4 linked regions of the Drosophila melanogaster genome follow. The protein of the gene in region 3 purifies or fractionates together with the protein of the main gene of each other region. This does not show direct contact. Each region holds a gene or a part of one and is shown on either strand. Other genes may lie near its edges.

The links.
Region 1: the proteins of Spc25 (region 3) and Kmn1 purify together in Drosophila melanogaster (affinity purification with mass spectrometry, with the first as the bait; 2 studies listed by BioGRID). This does not show direct contact.
Region 2: the proteins of Spc25 (region 3) and Prp31 purify together in Drosophila melanogaster (affinity purification with western blotting, with the first as the bait; one study listed by BioGRID). This does not show direct contact.
Region 4: the proteins of Spc25 (region 3) and Nuf2 purify together in Drosophila melanogaster (affinity purification with mass spectrometry; 2 studies listed by BioGRID). This does not show direct contact.

The regions. Positions count from the first base shown.
Region 1 is NC_004354.4:11,570,849-11,574,167, forward strand, and holds Kmn1 (kinetochore Mis12-Ndc80 network component 1), read right to left. Parts: upstream 1,595-3,319; 5' UTR 1,551-1,594; coding exon 1,343-1,550; intron 1,285-1,342; coding exon 941-1,284; 3' UTR 535-940; downstream 1-534. Other genes in the region: CG11699 (uncharacterized protein), read left to right, coding at 19-260, 321-452; Reepl1 (receptor accessory protein like 1), read left to right, coding at 1,954-2,676; CG11696 (uncharacterized protein), read left to right, coding at 3,010-3,135, 3,205-3,319.
Region 2 is NT_037436.4:15,157,193-15,161,703, reverse strand, and holds Prp31 (Pre-mRNA processing factor 31), read right to left. Parts: upstream 2,605-4,511; 5' UTR 2,535-2,604; coding exon 2,436-2,534; intron 2,380-2,435; coding exon 1,928-2,379; intron 1,866-1,927; coding exon 1,247-1,865; intron 1,188-1,246; coding exon 852-1,187; 3' UTR 741-851; coding exon of another isoform or gene 605-740; 3' UTR 566-604; downstream 1-565. Other genes in the region: CG7011 (uncharacterized protein), read left to right, coding at 332-539, 605-740; Msh6, read left to right, coding at 3,217-4,218, 4,277-4,511.
Region 3 is NT_033777.3:12,959,777-12,963,765, forward strand, and holds Spc25 (Spc25), read left to right. Parts: upstream 1-1,968; 5' UTR 1,969-2,059; coding exon 2,060-2,186; intron 2,187-2,249; coding exon 2,250-2,466; intron 2,467-2,940; coding exon 2,941-3,265; 3' UTR 3,266-3,473; downstream 3,474-3,989. Other genes in the region: grsm (granny smith), read right to left, coding at 1-541. UniProt on the Drosophila melanogaster protein: Acts as a component of the essential kinetochore-associated Ndc80 complex, which is required for chromosome segregation and spindle checkpoint activity during meiosis and mitosis.
Region 4 is NT_033779.5:7,063,890-7,067,822, forward strand, and holds Nuf2 (Nuf2), read right to left. Parts: upstream 1,949-3,933; 5' UTR 1,877-1,948; coding exon 1,576-1,876; intron 1,516-1,575; coding exon 1,143-1,515; intron 1,086-1,142; coding exon 572-1,085; 3' UTR 542-571; downstream 1-541. Other genes in the region: Sem1 (suppressor of exocyst mutations 1), read left to right, coding at 197-308, 364-491.

The sequences.
Region 1 (3,319 bases), on a different chromosome or scaffold from region 3:
TTTCATCCTCCTTTCTAGCCGCCGCCTTTCTGGGTTTGGTGGGCGGGGTGTCCGCTCTGTTCGGCTTCTCGCGCACGCTGGCCACCGCCAAGAAGACGGATAGCAAGGTCCTCCAGCAGGCTGGAACGCGGCAAGGCATGATCCTGATGGACGAGGGCGCCACCCTGGCCCTGCGGGCGCTGGGCTGGGGCACACTGTACGCCGTGATGGGCACCGGCGCCTTCTGCTACGGCTTCTGGAAGCTATCCGGAGCCAAGGATGTGAGCATGCCTCCGATTTGTTCAATGAATTTCGCTTTAAATCTTTCGTTTCGTTCGCAGTTCCAGGAGTTCCGCCTCAAGATGGGCAATGCACTGCCAAGAATCACCAAGGACGAACCACCAGCCAGCCGCACCGATTTCGAGAGTCTCACGGACCTCATGAAATACCTGGCAGCCTGGAACAAGGAATAAGCAGCTCACAAATATACACACAATTTAAAGTAGACCTAACGCCTGAGTAGACCAGAACATAAAACGAAACCTTTGTTAACTTCAGTTTACATACAGACAATGTTTTCAAGACGTTTGATCGGTTTTCATTTCTTTCGGTCAGACTTAAAGGCAGCCATCATCAGAAGTGCAACTTAGGGAGTTACATATTAGGGTAGAAATAAATACAGTATAATTCGCTTAGCTGCATCGATAGTTAGCTGCATCGGCAAGATATCTGCATTATTTTTCCATTTTTTTGTGTGAATAGAAAATAGAAAATAGAAAAAAAAAAATTAAGTTAGCTGCATTTTTAAGTTACCTGCATCGAGGCATTGTGCAAAGTACTCGAGGCAGCTAAGCGAATTATACTGTATAAGCCAAAAGCAAACCGTCTTACAATCTCTGAGTCTTAATTTAATTTATCAATATCTACAATTCACATATGTATATTTATGCATAGCTTAGGGTCACCGTTGGTTGGCCATATTCTGGTGTATAGCGTTGTTGATCATGGTGTTCCGCATGAATAGGTAGTGATCGTCCATATTGCACTGCAGCTCCATCATGTCCTCGTGCTCCGCCTGAAATCGGATGGCCGCGTTTGTGAAAGCCAACGAGCTTCGCACGAAGTTTTGCAAATTGGGTCCCTGATCTAGGTAACGCTGCTGCTCCTTGTTTGGCTTGAAGCTAACCTTGCGATTGTCCGTGTCCAGTGCCGCATGCATTACAAAGTCGAAGAACTTTTGCTGCTCCTTCTGGGCGCGCTCCTTGTACTGCTGCACCTCGTCCTCCTGACAGCTAGGATCCCAGACTGAAAGTCTGTACGTTAAGTAAATGGCAATTTAATTAACCACAAGGATTGCACTTACTATCGTCCAGGTCAATGTTAAACAAAGTGCTTGCTTCATAGCGACGCGGTTTCAAAGTGGCCTCCAGTTGGGCCGGCACGTCCTTGAGATCGATGTCGGAGAGATCACCGCTCGATAGATCGACGGCACTCGTGTTGCCCACGTATTCCAGTACGTCACTGCGGCGTACGAATTTCATTAATTTTTCTGGACTTTCGGCTGGCTCCATCGCGTCGCTTCGTTTGTTTTCAGTTTTTAAATCCGTAAACGCTTGCCAACACCCATCGCTGATCCAGTGATGCCACATCTTTTGAACGTAATTCGCTCTGGCTCTTTTCAAGCCAAAACCTTTTATACAAATTAAAATATACGATATAAAAAATTGCACTTTTAATATTAATAAAAAGATATATACTCATTGAAAAAAAGCTGAACTAAAAAAGGGGAAAAGGGTTATAGGGCATAAGTCATTTTATGAATGCTAAGCAGGCCTTGCGTTTAGAATCACATTTCAATTTATTGTATTTGTTCAAGTAGTCAAACCAAATGAACAAAATCGAGAACCGAATACACAGCTATATATATACTTTCTCAAAATCCAAAATTTTAAGATTATCCAAAATTTCCAAATAATGATTTATGCGATCGTGATACACATACTGTCCCTTCTGGTGGGCTGTTTCTATCCAGCATTCGCGTCCTACAAGATCCTGAAAAGTCAGAATTGTAGCGTCAATGATCTTCGCGGATGGTTAATCTACTGGATTGCCTATGGAGTTTATGTGGCCTTTGATTATTTCACAGCGGGTCTGCTGGCATTTATTCCATTGCTAAGTGAGTTCAAGGTGCTTCTCCTGTTCTGGATGTTGCCCTCTGTGGGCGGCGGCAGTGAGGTGATCTACGAGGAGTTCCTGCGATCCTTTAGCTGTAACGAATCCTTCGACCAGGTCCTGGGACGTATCACCTTGGAATGGGGCGAATTGGTGTGGCAACAAGTTTGCTCCGTTCTTAGCCATTTGATGGTTTTGGCAGATCGCTATCTCCTGCCCAGCGGTCATCGTCCTGCCCTCCAAATAACGCCCAGCATCGAGGATCTGGTCAACGATGCCATAGCCAAAAGGCAGTTGGAAGAGAAGCGGAAACAGATGGGTAACTTATCTGATACCATCAACGAGGTTTTGGGAGAAAATATCGATTTAAATATGGATCTGCTGCACGGATCCGAATCTGATTTATTGGTTATTAAGGAGCCTATTTCCAAGCCCAAGGAGAGACCAATACCGCCGCCGAAGCCAATGCGTCAGCCATCATCAAGCAACCAGCAAGAAATGAATCTTTCGTCGCAGTTTATGTGACATCAATTGATATCCTCAATATGTCAGGCGGAAGTTGTCAAAGTTCAGAGCTTTCAAAAAGCATACATCTCAGAAATAAACTAACCTTACCGCAATAAAGTTTATACAAAAAAAGCATTTAAATTGATTAATTTTAGTCACAAAATATTGAACCAATGTGTTGGTTATCTTCTTAGCTATTTTTTCTAGCCTATTTTCTTGTGTTTGCACAATCAGTCGCGGAGGTCTCTTTTCGCGGTCCGGTAACGCTCACATAACAAAACTCAGCAACGAATCAAAAACAGCTGCATTTAACGCGATTCGACTCGGGATTTGTGTCCTTCCTTTTATGAGATGATATGCCGACTCTGCCTGGAGGATGCTGAGCACGGGGTGCCCATTTTCGGCCAGGAACCGCCAATGGGACAACCGGCACATCGCCAGCTGGCCGAGCTGATCGAGCGACATCTGCTGCTGGTGGTGAGTGGATTTGGACTTTTCTACCCCAAAAAGATGTTTTTTTCTAATGATTGAATTGTTCGCTTTCAGTTGGCGGAAAACGACGTGGTGTCCACGTGCCTGTGCAACCGCTGCTGGCGGCAGCTGGCCGAGATCGAGCAATTCTGTTCCATGGTAGCGGAGAAGCAGCGGTCGCTGCACCGCT
Region 2 (4,511 bases), on a different chromosome or scaffold from region 3:
CGGGTGCTTTAAAATCAATTTATATTCTTTATTTATTAATATTATTAAAAAGCATACTTAAGACTGAAATAAAAAAAAACTAAGTTATTTAAGCACAGGCATCCATTTTAATTTATATTTTACTCCTCGAAGAATTTCTGGGAAACTTCGGAGGTCTGTTGTGTGGGGCATTTTCATTTTTTAAATTGGAAAAAATATACTCATTTGTTCGAATTGTGAAATACCTGTTTTTAGAAGCATGAAGTTTAATTCGTAATTACCTTACCAAATTAAATACATTTATCAACGACAAATGAAGTAAACTAGAAAATCTGCTCTCCTCTTTTTGCAGAAACCAAAAGTGAAATGTTCAATTACTATTTAAAAATTGTTCCCACATTATATATGCGAGGAAACAGCGACGGCGAGCCCATATACACGAATCAATTCTCCGTCACGCGATACCGAAAAGATCTTTCAGATCGCGAGCGCGGAATGCCGGGGATATTCTTCAGCTACGAGCTCTCGCCACTGATGGTGAAATATGCGGAGAGACACAGGTCAGTAAGCCACAAAGCTAATGGTTAATTTTACAAGTTTTATTGGTTGTGTTGTGTATTCCCAGCTCATTTGGCCACTTCGCCACGAATTGCTGTTCCATCATCGGAGGCGTGTTCACGGTGGCCGGCATTCTCGCCGTGCTGCTGAACAACTCGTGGGAGGCCATTCAACGGAAACTGGAAGTCGGCAAGCTCAGCTAACAACAATTCGAATCTCTTATGCAGCTTTACTACGCCTAACTCAATATACATTCGACAAATCTCCAAATAAAAGTGCTTAATTTTATAGAAAATAAGGATAGAGCTGTTCTCTTAAGTGGTCCGCTGTCCCACTGACATGAATCCGGATGTGTTTGAAAAGTATTTGGCATTGGCCTCCGTCTGCGAACGCTCCGCCGCCTGCGGATTCACAATCTCTAGACCTTGCAGTGGCGTAAAGGCCACACTGGATGCCGTTCCGGAGATTTGGCGTTTGACCGTGGTGTTGCCGCCGTACACCTGCTGTTTCTGCAGATTCTTGTGCAACGTTTTGCTAATGCGCACCTTGGTCTTCTCATCCACCTGGGGCAATCGGATGCGGCCGGTGCCAGTTTTGCCGATGGTGCCGCGTGAATAGCCCAGATCTCCTTGGTAGGCATCCTCTTCGATCTGAAAGAAAAGTTCAAAGATTAATACATAACCATTATATTTTTAAGCCAGAAACTTACGTCTCCGAAATTCATGCGGTTCGCTTGCTTGCGGAACTCTGTCAGCGCATATCGTTCCTTCATCTTGCGCACGCGTTTGCCTCCTCGCTTCTTCTTGCTTCCCTCGATGGGTTTGGGCAGCGGCTTTATGAACTTCACCGGCGGCGGCTCCTGCAGCTTGTCCAGCTTCTTTTCCACATCCTCCTTGAAGCGCAGTCCAATCTCCCCGTGGACACTCTCATGACAGGCATCAACACGAGCAGCCAGCACGGACTTGGCGGCCACCAAGCGAGCTGCCTTGCGTCGCAGATCTGGCGCAGTATCCTGCACAATCTGTGAGTAGTACACATAGCCAGTGTGCGGCAACATCTGCGTTTGTGAGAAGCCCGAGAGGGTTTTCTTTTGTGCACCCAACACCTGAACATTGCAGGCCGGCATTTTGGATAATTTGGAAAGGCCACCAGCAATGCCCAAGAGTTTAGCCGCCGTCGATGCTCCAACAATCATGGAAAGATTTGGGGCTATGAAGGTCATGCGACTTTCCACATACTCGTAGATCTTGGACTTGAAGTTATTCAGTTCGATGGCCATTTCGCAGGCCTCGTCGATCTTTGCCTTCTCCGCCGGTGTCAGCATGGTTCTGCGAAAGGGAATGGGATTCAGTGACATGTTATTTTGGGTTACACCGTTCAAATAACTTACCCCTGTGTGGTGGACGCCGTGACTGACACAATCATAATGGTGGCCTGCGTGAGAATAGCCTGCAGCTTCTCGTTATTTTTGACCTGGTCCAGGTCGTTGCCCAGCTCCTTGACCGCCAGCAAGTACTCGATTTCACCCACGATCAGGGAGTCCAATTCGGGGAATCGCTTCTGATACTTCTCCTTGGTGAACTTGTGCACAATGGAGATCTCGTTGTCAATGTCCACAGCTATGGCATTAGCGTCCACGATGAGGCAGTACTCTGGATCGGATTCTACGGATCCCAGCATTTCGGCTGCAGTTCTCTGGCGACTGGCATAGTGCTCGATCTGCTGCAGCGTGTTCTTCAGGCGCTCAGAGTCGCGCAGCTTGCACAGTTCCCGCACCGACTGCACGGTTACATCCACGTCCATCAGATTGGGAGCCGGCTTAGCCAGCTTCTCCGCCAGCAACTGTTTTGTGGGAGGGGAATCATTAGGTCTGATCAACATTTGCTTTGGTTCCTTACGCTCTCGTCCTCTGCACTGGCCATCTCCGAATCCTCCTCCTCCAGCTCATTGTCATTGTCTTCCTCGAGATCGGCTAAAAGCTCATCGGCTAGCGACATTTTGGCTTATTTCAAAAGTTTATTTTGCGATCTCGTGAAATTAAGTTTGTTTTGGAATTGAAGTGACCGTTGCTCAGCCGCCTTAGAATACCATGCGGTTCATTGAAAAAATACTAAGTATTAGCATGAAATATATAGGGTATTCATTTAAAGAATACCATAAGGCTATTCCACTGGATTTTAATTGATCAATTTGACCAAATTCAATAAACATTTCATGAACAGAACGATCCAATATCATAACTCTTGTTATTATTCTGGAAAGTTTCGATTTTCCTGCTTAATTAGAATTCTGTATCTAAAAGTAAAGGAATTGAAAATATGGTTGAAAATATAAGGTTGATGAAAATATAGGTATGGCTATCAATTGTTTTGCTTAATTCTTAACTATCACTCTTTATTTATTTTGGGACAACAAAGCCTAGATAAACACAGATCAAAAATGAAAAAAAATGACTTATTATATAAGAAGCATCAAATTGTAACGAAAAAATAAAATCTCCTCAGTGGTATTCGAAAATTCCAACGGGCACGAGTTCCCTAAATATACTAAATAGTCAAGCTACTATTTCGGTATTATTAAGCCACAATTTGACAGAATATTTTTTGGTTTTGGCGCACAATCGCAGCGTCTGCATCCTGGTTTTTTGAGTAACCTGGCAGACGTTTCTAGGCCATTGTCATGTCCAAGAAGTTAAACACCAGCGTGGGCGGGACGCCCACAAACACGCTACTAAATTACTTTTCCAAGTCGCCAGCTTTCGACAAAAAGAAATTGACTCCTAGCGTGAAAACAGATCCCGATGCATCCAAGAGCGAAAAGGAGAATCTCCAGAACCAGCAGCCAAAAGTGAAGGATGGTAAGAAAGAGGCTTCCAAGCCGGCGGCCAAGAGGAAGTTGCCCATTTCCGACGATGAGCCGGCCAGTGGTCAACGCAAGCGGAAGCGCATCGTTCAGCCGGAATCGGACAGTGAGCCGGAAATGGAGGTAACCAAGTCGGAGGACGACTTCTCCGATTGCGCCTCCGACTACGAACCGGATGAGAATGAAGCCAGCGATGATAGCGTTAGCAGCGGCGCGGAGGAGGTGTCGCCTAGCGAGAACGACATGTCCGTGGACAGTCCGACACCCAAGAAATCGCGCAAAAAGTCTAAGATTCTGAATAACAACAATAACAATGAGCCATCGAGCAAGAAGGTCAAGCTAGAGTCGACCATCCAGTTGGCCGAGGGTGCAACCTTTCAAGAAAAGCTGAAGAACCTGCAGAGCAATGCCAAGCAGGATGCTTCCTACGATGATATCGTGACCAACACGTCCAATCTGGATGAGCCCGTTGTTTGGCCGCACCAGAAACTAGAGTTCCTGCAACCGGACAAGATCAAGGACAAGGAGGGAAGACGTCCAGATCATCCGGACTACGATAAGAGCACCTTGCATGTGCCGGAGAAGTTCCTCAATGGCCTGTCGCCGGGAGTTCGACAGTGGTGGGTCCTTAAGTCGGACAACTATGACTGCGTCTTGTTTTTTAAAGTCGGCAAGTTCTATGAACTGTATCACATGGATGCGGATGTGGGCGTCAACGAGCTGGGCTTCACTTACATGCGCGGCGAGTTTGCTCACTCCGGTTTCCCGGAGATATCCTTCGACAAGATGTCCACCATTCTCGTAGACAGGGGCTTCAAGGTAATTTGTCCAAGGATAGCTCCTTTTCCCAGTAAAACTAATACAAGTTTTTCTTTAGGTGGCTCGCGTTGAGCAAACGGAAACTCCAGATATGATGACTGAGCGCTGCAAGCGGATCAAGGCCACCAAGTTCGACAAAGTGGTGGCCCGCGAGATCTGCCAGATCACCAATCGTGGCACCCAGGTCTTTGGCTCACAGTGCAAGATCGGGCCGAATCATCAGCCCAACTATATGTTGGCCATAGTGGAGAAGGATGAGGGAACTTGTAGCCGGTATGGAGTGTGCTTCATAG
Region 3 (3,989 bases):
GCTCGCTCTCAATGCAGCCATCCTTGTTGATTAGCACAAACTCAACATTGACTACGTTGCGTCCTGAATTTGCGTTTCCATCTCCACATCCAAGATTTAGCTTTGGCTGACTTGAGGCCAGCAGATTGCCCGTTTTGCGGGAATAGAGTGGAAAAGCGCGAACCACCGCACAGGCGCTGGCGAATAGATTCTCTCGTTCGCAGACGAGCACCACGCTCTCCTCGGAAACGTTCAGCACATGGTTCTTTACCAGACGAGTGATGGCATGAGCCCGGGATGCCGTATTGTGTCGGGATGCCTTCAATGGCAGGGCAGCCACGGTGGCCACATCGAGATAGAGGGATACCTTATCGGTGGGCGCGGGATGCAGACAAGCGACGGCATTCAGGAAGGTCTCCTCGGTGACGCGCGGACTGAGTTTGCTCTCCAGATGACTGAACTTCAGTAGGTTTAGATGGCGCAGCTGGCCGATGATCAGGACCGGATGTGTCTGCGGATCACTGCAGCCTAGCGACTCGTTAAACTTTACGTCCGTGGCCATCTGTAAGAGAATGTGTGTGCGAATGAGTAAAGAATGGAATGGCTAGCCAAATCCCAGTGATAAGCCGCCGGTATTATCTTATCGGTGCTAATCTGGTGTTTAGCGCTCCAAGTGCCCCACTTGCTTATCAGTCGACGACTTTGCACCACAGGGGCGGTCAATGGATGCAGCCATCCATAAATCACGAGAGCCAAAACCGGCGAGATAAGCAGTGGCATTTGGGTTATGGGTAGGGCCATCTGGACAAACACAGGGGCGTTACTCATCGGTTGCAAGCGGATGCAACGCTGTAGGGGAAGTTTAAGAATAGCTGACCCATATTAGAATGGCTCAATTAAAGTAGCTCCATTGTGAAAAATACTGCAGTATAATTTTATAACTAAAATTCTAATAAAAAACAATCAATCAATAATTATGTTTACAACTAAAAAGCATTGGGTTCATAAAATGAAGCTTCAAAAGAAAAAAATTACCTCTAAAATATTTTAACTATAATAATCACCTAATATACATAAATATAAATTGTATTGCATTTATAATGAACAAATTAAGATAAATTGTAGTAGCAATATGAATTCTAATAATTTACATAACATTTTCTGAGTTTTAGCGAATATTAGAAAATCTTATAAAATCAAATAACGTTTTTTTTTACAAATTATTAATTTTAATATATTTTGGTACAATAACTTAACTAAGTAGTTAACATTTTCAACTTAAAGCCATCAATTTTCCAGCTTTACAGTCGCAAGGCAATAAAAACATAAACTACCGAAAAGATATCGTTCAGCACATATCTTTACGATGCTCCATAAACTCGCATGGGTTTTATAAGCACGATATCATTGTGCATAAAGCGATTTAAGTTTCTTAAAATCGCAAATGCCACATGACCTTGAATTCGGTGCAACAAGAACAACAAGTGGGTCGTTGACCGACTCGCAGCATTCGAAACCGAAAAGTGGATAAACATCTAATTTACCCATTTTCAATTGGATTTGACTGGACACTCGATATGTAGAAATATTATGCAAATTCTATATTCTCTATTTTTAGACTCTTTGTTCGCGATTTCTTCGTTTGCAAAGCGTTTTTTGCACATTTTCTGCCTTTTTATTCGCTCACCTTTTTGAAGCGGGCGCTGCTGTAGGTGCGAGCGAGATGGTTGCGTATTGCCTGGACGCAGAGCAGCAAACGCATGAAGTGCCTGCTTCAGAAATTGCACAAAAATTTGCCAAAAGTGCCGACGTTTTATTTTTATTTTATTTTGCTGCCAATTTGACTTGCAATTTTTTGCTTGCCGGCTAATAGAGATGTGACTTGCACGACGATAAGTCGATGTCAGCTATCGATAAGTGCAGAACCACTTTTTTCTTTCAGCCTGGCCACCCTGCTGGTGTCGTGGAAGTGTCATCCCTAATGAGAAGTACCACCACTAACTGGAAAGCAAAACAAGCGTCTGGAAAACGGCGCTTAGTTTTTAAAGATTTTAATTGATTGCAGTAAATTGAGTTTAAAATGGCAATTATTATGACTGAATCGAGTTACGAAAGGCGCGTAAAGGCTTTGTACGAAAAACAAATTCACATGGAAGCCCTCGAGGCGAAATTCATCAAAAAGGTCTTTAAATTCAACAGCAATTTGTGTGAGTTGGAATTTATCTCCATATATCTCCATTTCAATTGATATATTTCACTAAATATTTTAGTGGATGTCAAGGAAGCAGCTTCGCGCCATCAGCGGAAAGTGGGAAAGTTGCAAAAAGTGCTCATGGAGCGGCGGGAGGAGTTGGACAAGCGAGTTTCCTTCATAGAGGAACTTGATCGAGAACTGGAGGCCACCAAACTTCACAATTTGGCCATGAAAGATTGGTTTAAACAGCAGAAAATGCTGGCCAAACAGCGCAAAAACGAAATCATGGAAAGGTCAGGGATTAGGTCAAAGATAATCATATTAAGATTTTCTTAGCACGAATGGCTAGCTAATATTTTCCGGGCTCCAATGGGTTCGATCTTGTCCTTATTATACATAAAAATGACTATTCATATTGATTTTTAGTCCATCCAAAACTACTATTGGTACAAATATATGTATATGACAATAATGTATTGTCAACATTTATGGTCTTTACATGCGTACAAGTTGCAGTGAGAGACTAATCAAATACTTTATTTACTTTAACTAAATCTATTAGGAGCATCATCAAAGTCTATAAACTGCAAATAATAGATATAGTTGAGGTCGTGTTCCAAATAACTTATTTAGCTTACATACATAATTTATTTGCATAGCCTCACATGCGCTCTTATTTTTCAAACAAATCCGATTTTAATGCGGTCAGTTTTAAACTTAGTATACTATAATGAGAGCAATGTGTGTTTATTTGTTTTATTTTATAGCATTCACACGCTGTCGAAGACAACAAGAACCTATATAAATCAAGAAGCGCTGCCGGCACGTGTGAAGGGTGTCACTGTACTCCGTGGCGATAAACGCGACCAGTTGATACCCTTTGATCTGAAGGCGACCGATGTGGAAGGACTGGACTCACTGTGTCAGCATCTCGAGAGTCTAAATGTGGACGTGGCGCAGTGGCAGCAGCTTATCTCGCTGGCCATGGACATGGCTATGGAGTCACGTGCTCCCACTACTCCGCCCAAGGAAGCAGACAATTGCAAGTCTATAATCGAGATTGATCTCACATCGCCGATGAGCCACACCTGACTTCCGATTAACTGATTTACTTGGATTAGGGGGAAGACCCTTTTCCAATGGAGCACTTTATTTTAGCATTATAAATAGTTGGCTTCCAATAAAAGCTCAATTGGGAATTCATCTTAACGAATTAAGCATCTTATTATAGCAGTTTTTTAGCCATTTAAGTACTGCTTGTAATTGTTTAAGTGCAGTGTAAATTATACATATATCTCCCAAAATTTTTTTTTTTTTCTTTTTTCTGATATATCATCTTCACTGGAAGCTTAAAAATTTTTAGAGATATCGCCAAAGAAGAGATATCGCGAAAGGCTCCAGTTTAAGTAGTTCCAATTCAAACTTATTCAAATTAAAAACCAGTTATTGAATTTATTTTAAATCAAAAGTCTTCTTATCATATTTAACCAAATTTACAACTTTAGTGATAATTATATCATAAATTTGGTTTAATGAGTTCTCTATTACTATAAGGTTTTATATATATTTCAAATGTTTGGGTAATTTCCTTATAACTATATCAGAACAAGACCTGTTTTATTAAACACCTTTCTTTAAGATTTGTATGATTATCTGAGAGCTTTTGACATGGCGGCCGGTGTTAATCGAGAAATCTCGAAAGTCACAAGCGACTCAGAGTGCCACCGACTAACCGATCTATGAATAAACAGCGATCCATATAGATTGGCGCTGCTCAATTGCTATTGTCCGGCGAAAGTTAGAGCGACCTATCGTG
Region 4 (3,933 bases), on a different chromosome or scaffold from region 3:
TATAAAGTTAGATTTGACATCACTGTCGGGTGCCAACGGTATTTTGAAAGTATTTTTTCCTGTTCACTTGGGTATATTTCGACGGTACAGCTGCGGTCACACAATTAAAAGTGACTGGCATCATTTAGCAACAAAAAACGCGAATAGCGTCAAAAACATTGTTTTATCGCCGTTGGAATTAATAAAAGCACACAAAATGTCTGCCCCAGATAAGGAAAAGGAGAAAGAGAAGGAGGAGACCAACAACAAGAGCGAAGACTTGGGTCTCCTGGAGGAGGACGACGAGTTCGAAGAGTTTCCCGCCGAAGGTTGGACGCAATAATGTGGTGGTACATCGGCAGTTTCTAATCACTTTCATTGTAGATTTCCGCGTTGGCGACGACGAGGAAGAGCTAAATGTGTGGGAGGACAACTGGGACGACGACAACGTGGAGGACGACTTCAGCCAGCAGTTGAAGGCCCATTTGGAGAGCAAGAAAATGGAAACGTAAACCGGCACCGACCCCTTTGTTCAGTCCTAACCATAAAAACGAGCTGAGCTGTTTTGCATTAATAGAATAAAATCAGTATATTAAGTGGAATTCATCTGCCAGTTTTGTCCGAGAACCTCATGGATTTGCTCATTTAATATGGCATATAGCTGATCTTGCTCCAAATTTTGCTGGTCTAGCTCGATCAAGTGATTATTCAGATCCTCCAGACGTTTCTTGCGATCCTCAACATCGACCTGCAGCTTTTTGAGTTCATTTTGCACCTTGTGATTCTCGGCATCGTTTTCCTGGTTTCTTTCCTCGTACCGATGTGCACAAAGAGCGAGTTCCTGCTTCTTGGCCTCTGCATCCTGAAGGAGCTTCTGATAATTAACTTTACAGGTGGGCAACTGCTTTTCCACTGCCTCCAGCTGCTTGAAGCTCTCTTTGTAATCATCCACCTTGCACAGCGAAAGCACAGCCGTGGCCTTCTCCAAAGCGGTGGCTATATGTTGACTGTTTTCGATCATCCGGCGATGTTCATTCGTCACCTGTTTTTTACTGGCCAGCTCCGTCTTGCAGCTCTCGACATGCGACGATGCGCTCTTAATTTTCCTACAATGTTTGACATTAAAATAAGCACAGAATCTAGGCTTGCCCGACAGCACTTACTCTCGCAGCTCTGTCACTTGACTGTCCTCCACCACTAGCTGTTCCCAGTGACCGATGCGTTTGTCCAGCTCACCCTGCTGCTGCTCAATGAGTTCCAGAGTGTTTTCATGCTCGCTACAGGACTTCTTCAAAGGTAGAAGCTTTGCTTGAGTATCCTGCAAATCTTTCTTGAGTTTGTTTATGGCCACTTCGCAATCCTTCGTCTTCTGGCTGCATTGCTCCAGCTGTTGACTTTTGGCCTTCACCTCGGCGGTCAGCGAATCCTTTAGCTTAATGGCCTCCTCTACAGGTCCCAGCACCTTCTTTTTGAACACCTTGTAGTAGGCCAGATGGTTGAAAAGGTAGCTCAGCGTGGCGAGCGTTTTTTTAACAGCTAATAGCCAAAGAATTGTTTAATAATAATTGCTTATTGTAAGACCGGCTGCCGGCTCACCTGGTTTAATTATGTCCATATAGGTGTACGTCTTGTTGGGAAAGCTGATCTGGACGATGCGCTCCACTTGGCGGCACACTCGGATAAGAAAGACGCGCGCCTCCCGCGACGAGTGACCGAGTTCGGTGCCAATCTTATAGGGCGGCTCCAGGCGAAAGCCGAAACTCCGCAGATAGTGCACCATGATCTTGGTGACAATGGGCTCGGTGGGATTGGCCAAGTCGCTTTGGCAGATATTGATGTCGGGCATCAGGCAGTTGCCCTGGTCCATTACCCTTTCAATTTCGACTGATAACGCCATTCAATCCAGAGTTTTAATTTTTAATGGCAGTTTTTGAATGGAACGCCGCTAAGGGATCAGATTGATGTGACCAAAGCTTGCTAGCCCCAAAAAACCACTAAAATACTAACTCAGAATTTATGTGGTTTTCACACCTATAGTCCTACAGCAGATTCTCGGGTTTTTTTATCCGGTTTTCTTTCCCGGCAGCTAGAAAATACTGCATTTGTTCAGCGCAAACTTAAAAAGTAACGGAAAATCTGGCTAAAGTTACTAAGTTACATTTTTTATTGGTGAGTGAAAACTCTGGCTTCCTCCAGCGCTGCAAAAGATGATGCTAAAAATCTGATATGCCCGTACGGGGTTTTCTCCAAAACTTGGCCAAAAAAGGTGGCACAGCGAAAATAAAGACTGTTTTGTACTGCTAATAAACATACCTAACTATCCCTATCACTAGTTTTTTGATTTTCCAAAAATAAAATTTTTACAAAATTTCGCATTTTTGATAAGGGGTACCCTCATCAAAATTTGCAAAAAATTGAAGCCTCTTGGATCTTTCAGGTTTCAACACATATGGATAGGGAATTAAGTTACGAACTCAACGAGATATGACATTCCAGTTTTGGACAACTATTCTTATTGCTATTGCAAAAAACTCGTTATTTTTGTAACCAAAAAGGAACGAAAAGAAATTTTGCCAAAAATCGTATATTTCCAATCGCTGATTTCTCCATAACTTGGCCAAAAAAGGTGGTACAGTGAAAATAAATACTGTTTTGTACTGCTAATAAACATACCTAACTATCCCTATCACTAGTTTTTTGATTTTCCAAAAATAAAATTTTTACAAAATTTCGCATTTTTGATAAGGGGTACCCTCATCAAAATTTGCAAAAAATTGAAGCCTCTTGGATCTTTCAGGTTTCAACACATATGGATAGGGAATTAAGTTACGAATTCAACGAGATATGACATTCCAGTTTTGGACAACTATTCTTATTGCTATTGCAAAAAAACTCGTTATTTTTGTAACCAAAAAGGAACGAAAAGAAATTTTGTCAAAAATCGTATATTTCCAATCGCTGATTTCTCCATAACTTGGCCAAAAAAGGTGGTACAGTGAAAATAAATACTGTTTTGTACTGCTAATAAACATACCTAACTATCCCTATCACTAGTTTTTTGATTTTCCAAAAATAAAATTTTTACAAAATTTCGCATTTTTGATAAGGGGTACCCTCATCAAAATTTGCAAAAAATTGAAGCCTCTTGGATCTTTCAGGTTTCAACACATATGGATAGGGAATTAAGTTACGAATTCAACGAGATATGACATTCCAGTTTTGGACAACTATTCTTATTGCTATTGCAAAAAAACTCGTTATTTTTGTAACCAAAAAGGAACGAAAAGAAATTTTGTCAAAAATCGTATATTTCCAATCGCTGATTTCTCCATAACTTGGCCAAAAAGGTGGCACAGCGAAAATAAAGACTGTTTTGTACTGCTAATAAACATACCTAACTATCCCTATCACTAGTTTTTTGATTTTCCAAAAATAAAATTTTTACAAAATTTCGCATTTTTGATAAGGGGTACCCTCATCAAAATTTGCAAAAAATTGAAGCCTCTTGGATCTTTCAGGTTTCAACACATATGGATAGGGAATTAAGTTACGAATTCAACGAGATATGACATTCCAGTTTTGGACAACTATTCTTATTGCTATTGCAAAAAAACTCGTTATTTTTGTAACGAAAAAGGAACGAAGAGAAATTTTGTCGAAAATCGTATATTTCCAATCGCTCATTTCTCCAAAACTTGGCCAAAAAAGGTGTCACAGCTAAACTAATGACTGCTAATAAATATAACTAACTATCCCTATCACTATTTTTATGATTTTCCTAAAACGAAATTTTAACACATTTTCGATAAGGGGTGTAAAACTGGGCGACACATTTGATACATGTAACAATGAACTGGGTGAAACATAAAGGCGTAAGGTTTGAAGTTATCTGACTTAAGCACTTAAATAAATAGTTAAAAACATAAATAACTGTGCTCTTTGATTTTGTTAAAT